Saccharomyces cerevisiae S288C: one gene and its partners. The gene in region 2 interacts genetically with the main gene of each other region. Each region holds a gene or a part of one and is shown on either strand. Other genes may lie near its edges.

Region 1 (6,539 bases), on a different chromosome or scaffold from region 2:
TTTTAGCATTTGCCCCATTGGCAGCAGCTCTTGCTGCAGGTAACACCATTGTTCTGAAGCCAAGTGAACTAACACCACACACTGCTGTAGTTATGGAAAATTTGTTAACCACAGCTGGTTTCCCTGATGGATTGATTCAAGTAGTTCAGGGAGCTATAGATGAAACTACAAGACTACTAGATTGTGGAAAATTTGACCTAATATTCTACACAGGTTCTCCCCGTGTCGGATCAATAGTTGCTGAGAAAGCAGCAAAAAGTCTAACACCTTGTGTACTTGAACTTGGTGGTAAATCACCTACCTTTATTACAGAAAATTTCAAAGCAAGTAACATAAAAATTGCTTTGAAAAGGATTTTTTTTGGTGCTTTCGGAAATTCTGGCCAGATTTGTGTTTCACCAGATTATTTGTTAGTACATAAATCTATCTATCCAAAAGTCATTAAAGAGTGTGAATCAGTACTAAATGAATTTTATCCAAGCTTTGATGAACAAACAGATTTCACTCGTATGATTCATGAGCCTGCTTACAAAAAGGCCGTTGCAAGTATAAACTCAACTAACGGCTCCAAGATTGTGCCTTCAAAAATTTCTATCAATTCAGATACTGAGGATCTATGCCTTGTACCACCAACCATAGTTTATAACATTGGTTGGGATGATCCTTTGATGAAACAGGAAAACTTTGCTCCTGTATTGCCCATCATTGAGTACGAGGATCTTGATGAGACCATTAACAAGATAATAGAAGAACATGACACTCCATTGGTGCAATACATATTCTCTGATAGCCAAACTGAAATAAATCGTATCTTGACGCGCTTAAGATCTGGTGACTGTGTTGTCGGTGATACAGTGATTCATGTAGGAATTACCGACGCTCCATTTGGAGGGATCGGTACTTCAGGTTATGGTAACTATGGTGGATATTATGGATTCAATACCTTTAGTCATGAAAGAACAATTTTTAAACAACCATATTGGAATGATTTTACCCTTTTTATGAGATACCCTCCAAATAGCGCACAAAAGGAAAAGCTCGTCCGTTTTGCGATGGAAAGAAAACCTTGGTTTGACAGAAATGGCAATAACAAGTGGGGGTTACGCCAATATTTTTCATTATCTGCCGCCGTTATTTTAATTAGTACCATTTACGCTCATTGTTCTTCCTGAACGTAATGTTTAAGGTTAATTAATTATTTGATGTATAAGTAACCTTTCGTTTAAAAATTTCATATGGGCGATAATATATCAATATTTATTAATTACAATTTACTCTATTTGCTCGTATAGAGTATATACTCGCTAAATACATTTTGATTACCAATCATCTTCCTCTTCATCTTCGTTAGCCTCCTCGTCATCACTCTCTAATCTCATTTTATTGGCCCTAGCAGCAAGCGCATTCGCCAAACCATCACCCAAACTTGCTTGGGCTGCAGCTGGAATAACGTTTGCAGAGGTGTTATCATGTTGTACAGAATTCAGAACGGGTTTAGGAACATCCCTGTTTTGAGGAGGAGTAGGGATATTATTATTTCCGGAATGTGGTTTCATGTAAGCTGTTGGCACCCAACCTTCCTTAGAGCCATCCAGAAGTTTCCCGAGAGACCAACCGCTTGGTTCTTCTCTTGTAATGTAAATTACGTCTCCTTTCTTTAAAGGTAACTCAGATGGTGATCCTGAACCAGGAAAATCGTAAGCCGCTTCAAACATGGGTTCTTTTGGCTTTGAAGAGGGTGGGGGTGGAGGAGGTGGTGGAGGGATATTTGCCTGTCTACCAGAGCCCATTGCGGCAGCAGCGGGTGTAGCAGCGGGTGTAGCACGAGTGGCAGCAGTAGGGGGAGAAGGACGGGCATTACTTTGGGATGCAGTGAGAGTGGAAGCAGGATTAGGAACAGATCTTCTTGTAGCAGCTTTGTTCTGCATTCCTGGTGGTGGAGGGGCAGGCTTTTTAGAATGCCTAGAAGCCGGGGCGGTGGGAACATGCTGGGCTGCAGCAATCGAAACTGGCCTCCTCGTTGCTTGCGAGGAACTAGCATGATATCCTGAAGAGATTGAACTCTTTTTTCTCGGTTTTTTGTGCACTTGAGAATTAGGTGGGTTACCACGACGAACTGATATTGTACTGGATTTATATATGTCGCCATATTTTGGTGCAGATTCATTGATTTGACATTTCACTGAATGCAACTTTCCAGGTTTCTTTTGGTACTCTATCGCCGAGCCTATTTTAATTTGAATTTTGTCGTTAAGCCTTTTCAGATGCGTTATGAGTTCTGTTTTGAAATATGTGTTGATTAAGGGGTCAGGTTGACCTGAGCTAGCCAACTTAATGGCGACCCAATCATCCTGTAAATTGGTTAAACTAACCGCTTGAATGTTTCGCACATCGATTTTATAATCCTGAGTATAGGTCATAGCATTTTGGACCAAAGTCTGACCAACAATGTACAATGTAGTTGGAGTTAATAGGAAAGTTTTTTTCAATCTTTGTGCAGAACGGCCAAATTTTGTATGCAAGGCCTCACCATGTATGGAAAAGATGACCTTCTCTTTAATGCTCACTTGTCTTTTGATATAAGCGCCCTTCGATTTGGACTCGTTGCATGATAGATAATCACCCATGAAGGCTCTGTAACCTAATAAGGACATAGACCTTCTTTCTTTTCTTCCACCCAAAACCTTCGTACCATAATCCCGGAGCTTCTCATACTTATTACCTTCCTTCCTCTCCCTGATGGTGCGCTGGATCTTAGTGGCCGCATCAATTCTTCTTTGCAAAAATCTCCTCCAAGCACGTTGGATTCTGGCAGCCATATTGTGCCAGTATCTATCTCTCATATGCTCCAAAGCAAATAATGTTTCAGGTGTTTTGATGAAAACACTTGTGACACCCAATTGGTACTCCTGCTGTGGGATAGAGGAATCTTGCAATATATACTTAACAGCATCTAAGGTATCACCTTGCCATGTATAGTCACCAGCGTAAGAACAGTGTGGAGATAATAAATAAAATCTTTCCACGAACTTCTCAAACACTTGTCTATATGCAAAACCTGCTCTTCTGATACGCACGTTTTCTTGCAGACCTAGATACTTAATCTGGTGTAGAACTTGCCGATCGTCATAATCGTTAGGAGATTTGGTTTCGTTTGGTTTAATTGTTCTGATATATGAAGGTTGTGCTTTTGATAAAGTTTCAACCAAATCATTTGCACTCTTTATAATTTTGTCGCCTGCTGTAGGTGGCCTTCTTTTTGATTCTCTGTCTACAGTATCCGGGAAAATGGTGGCTAAAAATGTATTGGTAGTGGTACCAATTAATTCTACCAGATCCTTTTGTAATTGATCCTTATTTTTATCTGTAATACCGTCAATATCGTATGTGACATCACCGGCATAATGCTTAATAACAAACTTGTTAGATCTCAAGTCAAAATGTGGATTTGTTGTGAACAAGTTCAAACGCTGAGCAAAAGCCTGATCAGCAGCATTTGAATCCGCGTGTGCAGTTGCAACAGAATCATTCATTGCTGCAAATATACCAGGTGGTCTTCTTGCCTCAATCAAATCACACACAACCTTGTTATCAAAGTATTTAATTGGGGTCCATTGGATTTTTTCTCTCTCGTAAGTTTCTTGCTCAGATTTCAATGTCAATTGAATAAAGATTTGTTGTAACTTTTCATTAACATAATTGATACAAATCTGCTCAAAAGAGTTATGTTCAAAAATTTCAAAGCCGTAAATATCAAGAATACCAATGGATTTTTCAGCGCCTGGAAAAGCCTGCAGAGATTTGTTAACCCTACTCACAATCCAGTCAAATAAGTTATTGTAAATAGCCTTTGCCAAAGCATCTCTAACCGCATCTGCTTGGACAATATTCAATGGAACATGATACACTGACCCTCTTTTCATACCATGATTGGTTTCCATAATTCTTTCCACAAGTGATTTAATCAGCAATTGGCTATCTATTTGTAACAAGTAAGCAACAAAATCGGTTACTGAGGTGTCCCTAACTTGCGCATTCCCCTCCTCATTTTCTATAAAGGAAACATTACCAATCCAAAGAATTGCAGCTAACATCCTGAAAATTTGGTCTTGTTCTTCTTGACCGAGACCAATAACTCTCATAGCTTTTAATGTCTCTTGATAATCTTGCAAATCATCAATTGTCTCAGCAGATATGCAACCCGCAGCAGCTGTGTACACATATTGTTCCGGTTTTTGGACCCCAAATGTTTGCCTATAAGCATCGGAAGCACCTTTCGTGAACTGATAGAATATATGGAAATTTCTTTCATTCTTAATTTGACTCACAACTCTCTGCTTCTCCAATAAATAGTTTGTGATATTACCAGCACATGGTTCAAACTGGTTATTGAATTTTATTTCTAGATATTTCCCATGTCTAGAAGAGTTGTTATTTCTTAGAGTCTTTGCACAGCCAAAAGATTCCAACAATGGATTAGTGGCTAAAACCATGTCTTTAATCTTTCCAATTGACTCCGTATGTGTGCTAGAAGCAGCCGCAATATATTGCATAATTCTTTTAGCTGCTTCAGTTTTACCGGCACCTGATTCACCTGAAATAATAACACACTGATTTTCATTATATGATTTCATGTTGTAGTACATAGACTCTGCAATTGCAAATACATGGGGTGGAACTTCCAATCTATTCTTACCTTTGTATTCATTCATAACAGCATCAGTATAGATTCCGAGGTCTCGGAATGGATTGACACTAATTAACACATGACCTATATAAGTGTAGATTGTAGCATTCAAAAATCTCTTCTTCAAGTTTTCATTTATGGCTTCGTCGGAGATTTTAGAAAGAAGCGTCAGATCAGACACACCAACTTCTTTCTTCTTCGAGGAATCAAAAGTAGCTTTCTTGATATTCGCAGAGCGTTTAGCTGGCTCCTGATGTACCTTTTTTCTAGCTCCTCTTTTTAAGATAGCCATTTCTATAAAGCGGTTAAATTCGTATTGGCCACTGTTCTTATGCTTTATTATAAACTATAACCTTTAAATACATAGTCCAGTTTGTATTTTCCAAGCTTGCAATTTTTGACGGCCCCTTTTCGAGAAATATTTTTGATGATTGACAAAACGAGAAAGAAGTCGTGTCCGACGAGTTAAAACACACCATTTGAATACATATGCTACGTATCCACTTTAGATTTATCAAATACTACCAACTCACTTGAATTGAACTTATTATTCATCTATGACTTAATTTTAGCCGTCATTAGTTTTTTAGAAAAAAATATATAAAGTATATACGAAAAAAATATACATGACTACCGATTTGGTAGAATGTCATATATAAGAAGCACGATTAAATAATAATAAAGTCTGCATTTTTTACTGAAAATGCTTTTGAAATAAATGTTTTTGAAATTCAGTGCTTACCGCCTGTACGCTTATGACGTAATTCAGTCTGTTGTCTTTCAACTTCTGGGTCAAAATTTATGAACTCGTCTAGACCGCTACCACCTGCCACCATTGGCAAAACAGGAACTTTTTTATCAACTTCCACTTCAAGCAAAACTGGGCCCTTGGTAGAAACGAATTCTTTCAACTTAGCGTCCAATTCCTCTTGCTTCTTGACTCTTAAACCTTTTAAACCCATAGCCTCCGCTAGTTTTATGAAATCAGGGTTCAATTGATGTGTGTGGGAATAACGATGTTCGTAGAACAGGGATTGCCATTGAGTAACCATACCTTGCTCTTCATTGTTCAAAATCAAAATCTTCACTGGAGTACCAGCTTGAACGGCAGAACTCAATTCCGTTAGAGTCATGTTAAAGGATGCGTCACCATCAATGTCAATAACCAAAGATTCTGGCTTTGCAACTTGAGCACCGATGGCGGCAGGGAGACCGTAACCCATCGTACCTAAACCACCTGATGTGATGAAAGTATGTGGATTTCTCCATGTCCAGTGTTGAGCAGCCCACATTTGATGTTGCCCCACACCCGTTGTAACAATGACATGTCTTCCTGTGTCGTTGGCAACCTTGGATAGTTTCTTTATAACCGTCTGTGGTTTAATTTTAGATCCTGGAGTCTCCTCCATATAAGCGTATGGGTATTCCTTCTTCCATTTATTTATTTGAGCAAACCATTCAGACCTCTCCTTAACTGGGAAAATCTTTGACATCATTTTGCCCAGATTGGTCGTAGCATCACCTTCCACTGCTATTTGAGTTTGAACAACCTTGTTTATGTTTTTTGGACTAACCTCGAAATGAATAATACCACCTCTACCCTCGGCAGCTGCACGACGAGCTTCTGGAGCGAATTTAGAAATATTACCAGTGACACGGTCGTCGAATCTAGCACCAACTGCAATTATCAAGTCGGCATTTTGCACTGCCAGGTTGGCAGTAGCACAACCGTGCATACCAAGCATATCCAATGATTTTGGATCTTCTTGGTCGAATGAACCTAAACCTTGTAAAGTAGTGGTGACAGGTATTTGAGCACGGTCACTTAATTCTTTTAGTAATCTTGGACCAT
Region 2 (4,650 bases):
ACTGCTTCCAAAAACTTGGGACATGACCTTTAGAGGGAGAAACATTTTCAATTTTGGAGCCTTGTTTAAGAGTATTATTTGGCATTATAAAGATATTTTTAGTTTATCTTAGTGGTATTGAGAGGATGAAAGTAAGACCAAAGCAGGAATCAAATTGGAAGCTCGAAAGCAAACTTGTGAAGGCTAATTTCTCTGCCCCTCTACTTTAGAAAAAAATTGCTGTGAAATGAGAACGGCTTTTTGAACACTGCAATATAACTTTCTGGAGAAAATTTGTTCTGATAACTTTGTGATGCGTGAAAGCTTAAGAGATCAAAAATATGTGGAGTTTTCAAGTCACTAGTGAATAAAACCAGTGGAATGGGTAAAAAAATTTTTTGTAACGGGCCTGCTATTCTAGGAAACCTAACGAAGACTTTATCAATTTGTTTTTCCTCTTCTGAGATCGTCCGATCAAGCCTAACAGTTTCGCGAGTAAAAAGGATGATTTCTTCTAAATTTAGTATTAAAGTAATGAATGCGTACACCCTGCTTGAAGATGTTGTGCAATGTAGCTCAGTTTCTTCCGCGCCAGGCCACTAGTCTTGCTTTTTTCCTGTTTGTCAGCACCGGTTTCCCAACTGGGCTGTGTCATCGACAAGACAGAGATGGTGTTTTATAAAAGAGAAAGGAGACTGAGGAACGTCGTTTTAGGAAGACTAGGCGAGGTGAGCGAGAAAACTGATTTCCCCATATGGTAGGCTTTGTACCATATTGGGAAGGTGGCAGCCCTATTGGGAACGCGCTCCTTCCCTTTTGGGATATTGTCAGTAGGGTAATATGCTCGCCGCATGCCCGTAATAGATAGACTCAAACGATACTTTGTTGGTGGAAGGATGAATTACCCTATATAGTATTTAAATTAAGAAACATTACAATAAAAGAAAAAGGTAATGGTAACATCTCACAATAGAAGGTAATGAATACAGAGGGATGCAGGGGCCTCCTCTAGTTCTTGTTGAGTTGCACGTAGTTCCCAGGAAACACACCTTGCTGGCCATTGTATCTTCCTGTCCACCATTCGTTCACGTCCGGAGTACGCTGGACAATTTCTATAACTGCGCCGGCAGGGAAAGACAAATCACCAGCAGCTTGAGCTTGGTAGTCATACAATGCGGTAACAGTTTCAACGCCAGGAGCTGCCGCTACGGCCGCGGCTGGTGTGCCCGCAACAGGTGATGTTAGAGGATTAGAGTAGGCCGGTGGTGGTCCCTGTTGCTGCTGTGGTGATTGTTGGAAGCCTAGCCCAGTGAGCGGTGGAGATTGCGCAGCAGCATACTGTGGATAAGTACCCGGAACAGCGCCAGCAGCAGCACCAGCAGCAGTACCAACAGCAGCAGCAGTACCAACGGCGGCAGCAGTACCATACTGGGCAGCAGGTTGAGCGGCGTAACTTGGTGCTGCGGCACCATAACCGTATCCTGTAGGGGTTGGAGAAGTGGCAGTTGCTGGATCATACCCAGCACCATATCCGACACCGCTTGATGCGCCACTGACGGGTGAGCCTTCGGCGGTTGCTACACCATACTTCCTTCTGGTCATCTCCAATTTTGCCTTAGAGTAACCGAGTTTAAAGTGTGTAATAGTCAAGGCGTCCGTTTGTTCTTCCACATTGCCTTTCTTGGCAATGTACGACTCTACAATGTCACTGTTCAAATCAAAATATGGAATCTTCATGTCTTGAAGTCTATTATACAAAGTGTAAAAAATGTTCAATTGCATGAAATAAAATGAGACAAATAATGGTTTCACAAATTCAGCTTCCAAACTGAACAGTATTGGTAATTGAGTCTTTAGCAAGTCGTTATAGTAATCATATTCTTGTTGAGCCACTTCCACTTGAGCTTGTGCTTTATACAATCTTTCTTCGTCTTTGGCGGTTGGTTCCTTCTTCTTTTCATGCTTGTTATAAGTGTTTAGATGTCTATCTAAATCTAATTTTTTGTGATTTCTCTTGGTGGCCATTTTACGAATATAAGTAATAATCTTCAACAGTTCCTGGCATGGCGTAACAATTTTTTCTTCCACCAAAGCCAGATCCGGTTTCAATGTTTCCTGTAATTCTGCGACAATTGCCCTATACTGTTCACTTGCTTCAATACCTTGTGGGTTGTCCTCTGGTATGGTAGCGTTAGGGTCACTCATTTTACCACTGATAGGTTTGAAAATTTCCTCCATGGATTTGGCAAATCCAATTTGGTGTGTCAGCATTCCATTCACCGCAGTCGAGTATCTCTTCGATTCCTCACTTAATTTTTTTGTCTCCTGCTCCAATTCTTGAAAACGACGTTCTGCATCCTCGTAAACAGGATCCTCTGTCTGCTCACCCATCTTGAACTTTTGACGGAAGGACTGAGGAGCCCTACTAACAGCCTTGGTAAACCCTTTAAAACTCATGTGCACTTATTGGCTCCTTGATTCTTGGTGTTAAATGACCAGGTGAGCCTCACTTTACTTTATTCCTTAAAACAGGTTGTTAAACATCGACACTACAAAGCCCTCTCCTTTTTTTTTTCCGGTACCAATATTATCGCAACATCCGAACATCGGTCGGATTGATAATTTAGTCAGGTAGACTACCATAGCAACTGGAAGGTATACATAACAAAATTTCCATACGAAAGGAACTTCTTGAACTATATACAACCTTATATGTGCAACTGTAGCGTGCACTTATAGTCCATGGTCAAAAAGTATCTTTTCTCAGTAGAAAACAAAAGCGTACAGGCAAGCGACAGGAAAGTCAAAACTTGATAGAGGTATGTCTACAGATGAAAGTGAAGACGTTTATTCTGATCTGTATTCCATTATCTCCCAGGTAACATCCAATACTGCCAATGACATCGAGCAACTCCCATATGCTTTAACGTTCAAAACGTCGTTAATCTTCGTTGGTGCTACCATTGGTGGGCTTTTATTCGGCTATGATACTGGTGTTATATCAGGTGTTCTGCTTTCTTTAAAGCCCGAAGATCTATCTTTGGTAGTTTTAACGGATGTTCAGAAGGAGCTGATAACTTCCAGTACAAGCGTCGGATCATTTTTTGGCTCTATTCTGGCATTTCCTTTAGCAGATAGGTATGGAAGAAGAATTACTCTCGCAATCTGCTGTTCAATTTTTATCCTAGCTGCAATTGGAATGGCTATAGCAAGAACATTGACGTTTTTGATTTGTGGGAGATTGCTGGTTGGGATCGCTGTTGGAGTGTCTGCCCAGTGCGTCCCTCTATTTCTGAGTGAAATTTCACCTTCCAGAATCAGGGGTTTTATGTTGACATTGAACATTATTGCCATCACTGGAGGTCAATTGGTTTCCTATGTGATTGCGTCCCTTATGAAAGAGATTGATAATTCATGGAGATATTTGTTCGCACTTTCTGCTATTCCAGCTATTCTGTTCCTTTCAATACTGGATTTTATCCCTGAATCGCCACGATGGTCCATTTCCAAGGGAGACATTCTATATACCAGGGATTCTCTAAGAATGCTATATCCTACTGCATCTACATATCATGTGAATAGTAAAATTAAGCAGCTGATAATTGAACTCGATAAGTTACGACTATACGAAGATGCAAGTGAACCTTTACTAGTACAGTCCCAATCGGTTATTCGATACATGGATAGTTCAACCTCAGGAACTCTTAGCCCACCTAACATTAAAAGACTTTCCTCGAACACAGAAAGAACTAGCAACACAATGTCCTCCTCATCAGCATATCTATCGGCGTTGCGAGGCCCAGCTCCAAACGGTGCCCTGGCATCTAACAAAAAGAAAAGACACAGAATGGAGCCACGCACAATAAGAGCGTTAATAGTAGGTTGCATGTTAATGTTTTTCCAGCAAATCACTGGCTTTAATGCTTTTATGTACTATGCGGCAATAATATTTTCCAAATTTAATATAAAAAACCCTCTACTGCCTCCAATTTTGATTGCCTCAACGAACTTCATATTCACTTTTTTCGCCATGTACACCATGGACTCTTTGGGAAGAAGAGCCATTCTTTTGAGAACAATTTTGATTATGACTGTTGGGTTACTTCTTTGCAGTGTAGGTTTCGGTCATGACCAAGTCAATTTACTTTTAATTTCTGTTGTAATTTATGTTGCAGCATATGCTTCTGCGATGGGCAGCGTTCCATGGACCTGTGTGGAATTTCTCCCCTTGAACAGGAGATCATTTGGGGCATCATGTATAGCCTGCACAAATTGGTTGACCAATGCATTTGTTTCAATGACATATCTGAGCACTATTAACACCATTGGTGATGAAAATACAATGCTCATTTTTGCTTTTTTCACAGTTTGTGCCTGGTTTTTCGTATATTTTTGGTATCCAGAAGTCAAAGGTTTGTCACTGGAAGAGGTTGGAAGGGTTTTTGATAATGGAATTGATGTTCATTATGTCTTTCGTACCTACCATTGATGAGTTGTCAAGTGGCATCATAATGCATTGGGGCGGCTTTCAGATATGCTTCTGGTATATTTGTCCGTGAGAAATTAAGGCTTCTTTTCTTATATATGTATATATTAGTTAAAAGAATATCATCACTTTTTTCTTTATAAAACCTTGCAGGGATGACTATATTTCAAATTGCTAAAGTTTAC
Region 3 (4,695 bases), on a different chromosome or scaffold from region 2:
TATTTTTACTTCTTTTTTACTATTGAAGGTTGGGCTGTGATTCATCGCGCAGAAAACAAGGACCTCATTTGAAAATTTCCTTGAATTGCTTAACAATGCTATTTTTGATGGCAGTTGGAGATGTCTTCCATTCTGTTGGCAATGACTTCCAGTCGATTTCTCCCATGATTTCCTTAATTTGAACTTTTTTTTCACCTGCCTTTGTTTTGAGGGCGTCCAGTAATTTCTTCACATTTTGATCAATATCAAGCTCTGAAGACACTGGCAATTGGTCCATATATTTCTTTATAATGTCCATTTCACCTTGCTCTTTGGCCACCAGATCGTCCCTCTTGTTAGCAAGGAACTCATTGATCGAGTCCTTTCTTTGAGATATTAACTTGGAGTACATGTCGTACAGGGAGTACTCATCAGCGCTCTTCCCTTTTAAAGCAATTTCTTTGTTTTTTATGGCAGATAACATATTTCTGATTGCTGTCTTCTTCATCTCATCCTTGGCAATCATAGCCTTTTTCAAATCTCCTTTCAATAGGCTGACTGCAGCCGTGTAGGCTGGAGAACTGTTATAACGAATGAAGGTTAGTCTATTTGAAACAAGTGGCCTAATTGATTGTCTGAACATCTTGGAATAGTGTTATTTGCTGTATTCCCCAACTTTATCCCAAAGTCTTTTTTCTCCAGTTCATTACTTCTGTAAAAAATGTTGCAGATCCTTTTTCTTCCCTTTAATTTTGAGTCCTTCCCCCCGAAAAGTCCCAGATGCCGGGTAGATGTGATTTATATCATTTATCGTTTATAGAGTATAAATTGGGTGATGCTACACTAAGTACGTATGCTCTTCTGAACTAGACTTAGTTTGCCCGATTAGTCTTTCTCACTCTCTTTCTCGAGGTAGTTGGTCCAAAGCGATACAAAGCTTTCCGTTCTCGATACAGCGCTTGAATTCTTAGACTCATTATTCGAGATCAAGCCGGCCTGTTGTTTCTTATCTTCATCCCAGTTTAAGAAATTGGACAGTAATTCAAGAACTTCAAACTTTCTTGGGTCTGCTCTGGGTATGGACACGAAAGATATCAATAGATTGGATATCAGTTCTTTATCAACGGATTCAGAATCGCTTGATTTCTTCAACATGGCCAGTGCCTTTGTTAAATGCTCATTTAGTATAATGGCTTCGTGACGTAGTTTTCCGATCTGTAAGATGTGCTGCTTAGATTCTTCCTCATATTTTTCCTTCATAGAGGCGTCCTCCTTCATGGCTTCTAGCTGTTTTTTCATGCTTTCTAAAGCTTCTGTGTCATTGTTGTGCGTTTCTATCTCCGTGTCAAGTTGGGATCGTAAAGATTTGACTTCCTGGTCTCTCTCTCTAGCCTCTTCTTCCCTTTTGTTGTCAACTTCTTCTATCTTCAATTCCAGATCATTTAGAGAATTCTTTAATACTGCTTTCTCCTTTTCATGGGATTCCAAAGCCTGTCTCAATTCATCTCTTTCTGTTCTCAAGTCAGATATATCTTGTTTATTATTTTCTAAGATTATCATGAGTTCCTGAACTTGGAGATTTAATTGATCTTTTTCCTTCCTGTAAGTGTTAAGTTCCTTACTATGTTTTTCAATTATGTCGTGTTTTTCATCTTCCAAAGCTTCTATCCTTGATTCGTATTCCAAAAAAACCTCTTCTGTACTTTCTTGCTCCTTTTCTAGGTTTTCTAACTCTGTATTTAGGGTCACAATCGTGGATTGTAATTCAGAGTTTTCGGTCTTGGTAGCTTCAAGTTTCTTCTTCAATTTCAGATTTTGTGATTCATATTCAGTAAGCTGCTCCTGCACTTCCTCTAATTGTTTTTGTGCTTCTTTCATCTTATTAAAAATTGATTTCATAGAAGATATCTTGCTCAATAATGTGTCATACTGTGTTTTGAATTCGTCTCTTTCCTTAATAACATTTGCTAGTTCATTTTTGAAGTCTTCATTAGGCGTTTCTTGATCCTTCTTGTGGCTTAGTTCCAATTTTAAACGTTCAATTTCTTCCCTTAGTTCCTTCATCTCATCACCAGCCTTTTTGTCCTCTAAAGGATTTATGGTGTCTACAGTCAGGCCGTCATTTACTTTTTGTTTGTCTACTCCTTCAGAGAGATCTTTCCCCTCATCGTCCGGGCTTGCCACGATACCATCAGCCTCTGGATCTGTGGACATTTTTGGAGGAACGGTGACGTTTACAGAATTGATGATTTCTTCAGGTTTATTGACGGTTTCATCAACGTCCTCCACATGAGGATGACTCTTGGCCTTCTTACCTGTTTTCTTCTTATTTTTACCCATTCTAATTAAAAAAAATGCAATTGTTTGAGGGGATCAAGTGGAAAGTATACACAAGCATCTACTATATAGCTGTTTATACAAGATTTTCTTGTTCTTCATGAATGGTCTTTCTGTTTGTTTCCATTTTTCGTATCGAAATGAGCACGAAATTCAAAAAGAAGTACTGAAAAAAAAATCAACATGAGAAGGAACAGCCGATCTCTCAGCGAAAACAGTGGCTTCGTTGAATACGCTGCTTGATCCTTACACAATAAGGAATTGGGTATCTCGCAGTTAATTTTATAACTTCAAGTCACTTCATAATAAACTAAGCTGAAGAAAATGGTCAATATTTCTGATTTCTTTGGTAAAAATAAGAAATCCGTAAGATCGTCAACATCCAGACCTACGAGACAGGTGGGTTCGTCTAAACCAGAAGTTATCGACTTAGATACTGAATCTGACCAAGAATCAACCAATAAAACACCAAAGAAGATGCCTGTAAGTAATGTAATTGATGTATCAGAGACACCTGAAGGAGAAAAAAAGCTACCTCTTCCCGCTAAGAGGAAGGCCTCTTCACCAACTGTAAAGCCAGCAAGTTCAAAAAAAACCAAACCCTCCTCTAAAAGTTCAGACTCGGCTTCGAATATTACGGCTCAAGATGTACTAGATAAGATTCCATCCTTGGATCTGTCAAATGTTCATGTGAAAGAGAATGCTAAATTTGATTTCAAAAGCGCAAATTCAAATGCGGATCCAGATGAAATTGTTTCTGAAATAGGTAGTTTTCCAGAAGGAAAGCCAAATTGTTTATTAGGTCTAACAATTGTCTTCACAGGTGTTCTGCCAACCTTGGAGCGTGGTGCATCGGAAGCTTTAGCGAAAAGATACGGAGCAAGGGTTACTAAATCAATTTCAAGCAAAACTTCTGTAGTAGTCTTAGGTGATGAAGCAGGGCCAAAGAAACTAGAAAAAATCAAGCAATTGAAAATCAAAGCCATAGACGAAGAAGGCTTTAAGCAATTAATTGCTGGGATGCCTGCTGAAGGTGGTGACGGGGAAGCTGCCGAAAAAGCACGTCGAAAATTAGAAGAACAGCATAATATTGCTACCAAAGAAGCAGAATTGCTTGTTAAGAAAGAAGAGGAAAGGTCGAAGAAGCTTGCAGCCACTAGAGTTTCTGGTGGCCATCTGGAGAGAGACAATGTGGTTAGGGAAGAAGATAAATTGTGGACAGTAAAGTACGCACCAACGAATCTACAACAGGTCTGTGGTAACAAAGGAAGTGTAATGAAATTAAAAAACTGGTTGGCTAATTGGGAAAATTCAAAGAAAAATAGTTTTAAACATGCTGGTAAAGATGGCTCTGGTGTTTTCAGGGCTGCAATGTTATACGGTCCTCCTGGTATTGGGAAGACAACTGCTGCTCATTTAGTTGCACAAGAGCTTGGGTATGACATTCTTGAACAAAACGCTTCTGATGTTCGCTCTAAAACTTTACTTAATGCCGGTGTTAAAAACGCTCTTGATAACATGTCTGTAGTGGGATATTTCAAACACAACGAAGAAGCTCAAAATTTGAACGGGAAACATTTTGTCATTATCATGGATGAAGTTGATGGTATGAGCGGAGGCGATAGGGGGGGAGTTGGCCAGCTGGCACAGTTTTGTCGTAAGACGTCAACTCCATTGATTCTAATTTGTAATGAACGTAATTTACCAAAAATGAGACCATTCGATAGAGTATGTCTTGATATCCAATTTAGAAGACCTGATGCTAACAGTATCAAATCAAGATTAATGACAATTGCGATCAGAGAAAAGTTCAAACTTGATCCAAATGTCATTGATAGGTTGATACAGACTACAAGAGGTGATATCCGCCAGGTTATTAATCTACTTTCAACGATATCTACGACTACTAAAACCATAAACCATGAAAATATCAACGAGATCTCAAAGGCATGGGAAAAGAATATTGCCCTAAAACCCTTTGACATTGCCCATAAAATGTTGGATGGACAAATATACTCAGACATAGGTTCAAGGAACTTTACACTGAATGATAAGATCGCATTATATTTTGATGACTTTGATTTCACACCCCTAATGATTCAGGAAAACTATTTATCTACAAGACCAAGCGTTTTGAAACCCGGCCAGTCACATTTGGAAGCAGTTGCTGAGGCGGCTAACTGTATTTCATTAGGTGATATTGTCGAAAAGAAGATTCGTAGTAGTGAGCAATTATGGAGTCTTTTGCCTTTGCATGCTGTTCTTTCATCTGTTTATCCAGCATCAAAAGTTGCCGGCCATATGGCGGGAAGAATCAATTTCACAGCTTGGTTGGGCCAAAATTCTAAATCTGCCAAATATTATAGGTTACTGCAAGAG
Region 4 (2,825 bases), on a different chromosome or scaffold from region 2:
CCACATATCGCTGATGATATCCAATTTGAACTAAGACAAGTGGATCCGTACTACCGTCTAACATTGTCGCCAAGCGGAAACGATTCTGAAACTCAGTATTACACCACCGGTGAATTCATCCTTCCAGACCGCCATGGAGTGTTTACATTCCTCACTGACTATCGTAAGATTGGCCTGTCGTTCACTACTGACAAAGACGTTAAAGCTATCCGTCACCTTGCTAATGATGAATACCCAAGAAGTTGGGAAATCAGCAATTCTTGGGTTTATATTAGCGCCATTTGTGGCGTCATTGTTGCGTGGATATTTTTTGTTGTTTCTTTCGTTACGACTTCCTCTGTTGGCAAGAAACTTGAAACATTCAAAAAAACAAACTAATATATGTTTTCATATCCTTTATAATTCTTTATAAATGGCTCACATAAATACATAAGAGTACCTGATTGTGTTTATTTATATTTTTTGCCAAACTAAGTACTGCAATAGATTTTATATATGGTTTAGTTTTTAACGACTTGAATCTTATTGTCTTTTTTCCATTTTTCAAACTCTTTTGCAGTTTGTATTAAGGTTTCTTTCATTTTACTTATTGTACCTTCTATGTTTTCCTTCTTAGTTTCAAGAATAGGCAAACTCGTTTGAACATCACTTTCAACAAGTGCGCCACCTATCATCCTGTAACATTTTCTCGTCGGCTCAGCGTCTTTCAGTGTTTTTATGACTATAGTGTGTTCATCTTTGTCATGACCTAATTCTATGATTTTTGTTTGCAATTCTTCCAAAATTTGTTTGTATTCATTATATTTTGCTTGAAAGACTATACACAGAGAAAACACAAAGATTGTTAGTAAGATAAAATTGGCTACATGCATTTATTAAAACCCAGAGATCGAAATTTTGCATACCGTTGTTCCTTTGTTCCATAGCTGTAATATAGTTCTCCACTTCTCATGAATGAGTTTTAAAGATTAGTGAGTTTAGGTGATGAATTCTTTTTTTTTTTTTTTTCATTTACTTCCAGGCGGCAGCGTTCGCGATTTTATCTAAACTTACGTCAACACCACTAATATAGAGTTAAGGAACATACAAGTAGGATTTAAGGTTAGTTTATAATGTGTGTTCATTTACTTTTCTTTATCGCCCCCTTGTCATTTTGCCTGGGGTGAATTGATCCCAGCGAGTATATAAAGGCACCAAAAAAGACTAGGTAGACCCCGATGTAGCCAGTATATGACAAGTTATTATCGAAAAGTCGGACGCTCAGTAAAAGACTTATAAATTTTCTTACAAGTAATGTTATGGAAAGTGTCAGAGCGTTTGTTTTACTGGCGAGGATATTAACACCCTTGACGCAAAAATATTGTGTTAACACATTGAAAAGAAGGAGAGTTTCTTCTCGCGGGACTAGAATCTTCCCTCCAAAATTTGAACACAATATTCTTTCAGACTTTCTCATCACTCGATATTCGTGAATTAACTGCTTTCGACTAAATAGAAAGAGAGGTAATGATAAAAAATGACTGTAAAAGATATTCTCCTTCCAATGCTTTCCATATTTTTGATACGTACGTTCATTGTATGCTGAAAGTAAAGATGATGTGAATGATGAAAGTACTAGTATACAAATGCCAAAAATAAAAGTGAGATCTACAGATTGGTCACTTCCAATTTTCCACGCTTGCAGTTTCAAATCTTGGTACCGAAAATCAGCATCTTTGAATAATGAGGCAATTATAGCTCCAATGGTTAAAAATAGTGTTGATAAAATCTGAATCTTTGTATATTTCCTACCATTTAATAACCAGCATGTAAACATGGTTATTACGGTTCCGAAGCATCTGAAAACGATATGAATCGGAATGGATATGTTGTATTTAAATACGTTATTATTCGTCGTAGATGAAATATAAAATAAAACGACAGTAATGACATAAACGTGAAGTGGAGTTTTCAGAGGCTTGAAGTAAGGGAAAGGTTGATGAACATCCAGAAATTCGGGGAGTCCCTGACATGTAACAAATAAAAATTGACAAAAAGTAATGAGATTATTAATGCTGCCTGTTTCGTTGCTCATTAAGGTTTCAAATGTAATAACATTGGAGCAACAACCTCCGAACACTAGAGCGAATGCTTTTAGTGAGTTCCACATTTTTTAGATTCTCCCAATCCAATTACTTCCCTGCTTATTCTCAATTGAATTCTCTTCATTTTTTCTAACTGGAGTGCAAAGCACTGAATATTTTTACTTTGCGTCGGGAGCGATTGCTTCCTTAAAATATGACAATGAATATATAAAGGAAGAGTATGCGTAACCAAACCATAAGAAAGGCAGAGAGTGCCTAGCATGGTAGCAGACTTAACTAAAGGTATACTGAAATGGAAATCAAGAATAGAATTTGATGCCGTTGGAAGCAGTTCCTATTACGAAGAGTTAAAGGGCTTACCTCCCCTTGCATCCCATAAAAAATTAACACAGGCTGCTATCTTCAATAGCACGAAGTATGAGTTATTACAAGTAAAAAAAGACATTCTGTCCATCTATGAAGTTGTAAGTAGGGACATTGACGAGGAACGCAATCAGATGCAGCAAATTGAACTTCAACTTAAAAAGTCGTTAAAAAAGGTAGAACATAGTTACAAAAACGTCTTAAAGCAAAGGGCTTCTACTAATTGTATCAATGGAAATGATCGTCTATTGGCCAATGCGGAAAAAAAAATTGGCTCGTTAAATGAAGAACTCGCATGTGTCAATGATATTGTTTCAGATATTGTTAACAATTTGACCGCATTGAATGCAAACCTCCCGAAGAAGGCACAATTATTGA

Evidence for each region.
Region 1: mutations in RVS167 (region 2) and MYO5 together harm fitness more than expected from each alone (negative genetic interaction), as found in Saccharomyces cerevisiae (6 studies listed by BioGRID, with this or other methods).
Region 3: mutations in RVS167 (region 2) and RUD3 together harm fitness more than expected from each alone (negative genetic interaction), as found in Saccharomyces cerevisiae (5 studies listed by BioGRID, with this or other methods).
Region 4: mutations in RVS167 (region 2) and GIM4 together harm fitness more than expected from each alone (negative genetic interaction), as found in Saccharomyces cerevisiae (6 studies listed by BioGRID, with this or other methods).

The regions. Positions count from the first base shown.
Region 1 is NC_001145.3:485,027-491,565, reverse strand, and holds MYO5 (myosin 5), read right to left. Parts: upstream 4,980-6,539; coding exon 1,320-4,979; downstream 1-1,319. Other genes in the region: HFD1 (hexadecenal dehydrogenase), read left to right, coding at 1-1,172; ILV2 (acetolactate synthase catalytic subunit), read right to left, coding at 5,419-6,539. UniProt on the Saccharomyces cerevisiae protein: One of two redundant type-I myosins implicated in the organization of the actin cytoskeleton. Required for proper actin cytoskeleton polarization and for the internalization step in endocytosis.
Region 2 is NC_001136.10:1,247,972-1,252,621, reverse strand, and holds RVS167 (amphiphysin), read right to left. Parts: upstream 2,437-4,650; coding exon 988-2,436; downstream 1-987. Other genes in the region: GTPase-activating protein SAC7, read right to left, coding at 1-85; CIN10 (Cin10p), read left to right, coding at 2,801-4,468; MUS81 (Mus81p), read right to left, coding at 4,640-4,650. UniProt on the Saccharomyces cerevisiae protein: Component of a cytoskeletal structure that is required for the formation of endocytic vesicles at the plasma membrane level.
Region 3 is NC_001147.6:746,661-751,355, forward strand, and holds RUD3 (Rud3p), read right to left. Parts: upstream 2,320-4,695; coding exon 865-2,319; downstream 1-864. Other genes in the region: AIM41 (Aim41p), read right to left, coding at 65-622; RFC1 (replication factor C subunit 1), read left to right, coding at 2,641-4,695. UniProt on the Saccharomyces cerevisiae protein: Involved in the structural organization of the cis-Golgi and in vesicle targeting/fusion stages of ER to Golgi transport.
Region 4 is NC_001137.3:146,275-149,099, reverse strand, and holds GIM4 (tubulin-binding prefolding complex subunit GIM4), read right to left. Parts: upstream 925-2,825; coding exon 906-924; intron 818-905; coding exon 501-817; downstream 1-500. Other genes in the region: WBP1 (dolichyl-diphosphooligosaccharide-protein glycotransferase), read left to right, coding at 1-378; YEA4 (Yea4p), read right to left, coding at 1,121-2,149; VAB2 (Vab2p), read left to right, coding at 2,345-2,825. UniProt on the Saccharomyces cerevisiae protein: Binds specifically to cytosolic chaperonin (c-CPN) and transfers target proteins to it. Binds to nascent polypeptide chain and promotes folding in an environment in which there are many competing pathways for nonnative proteins.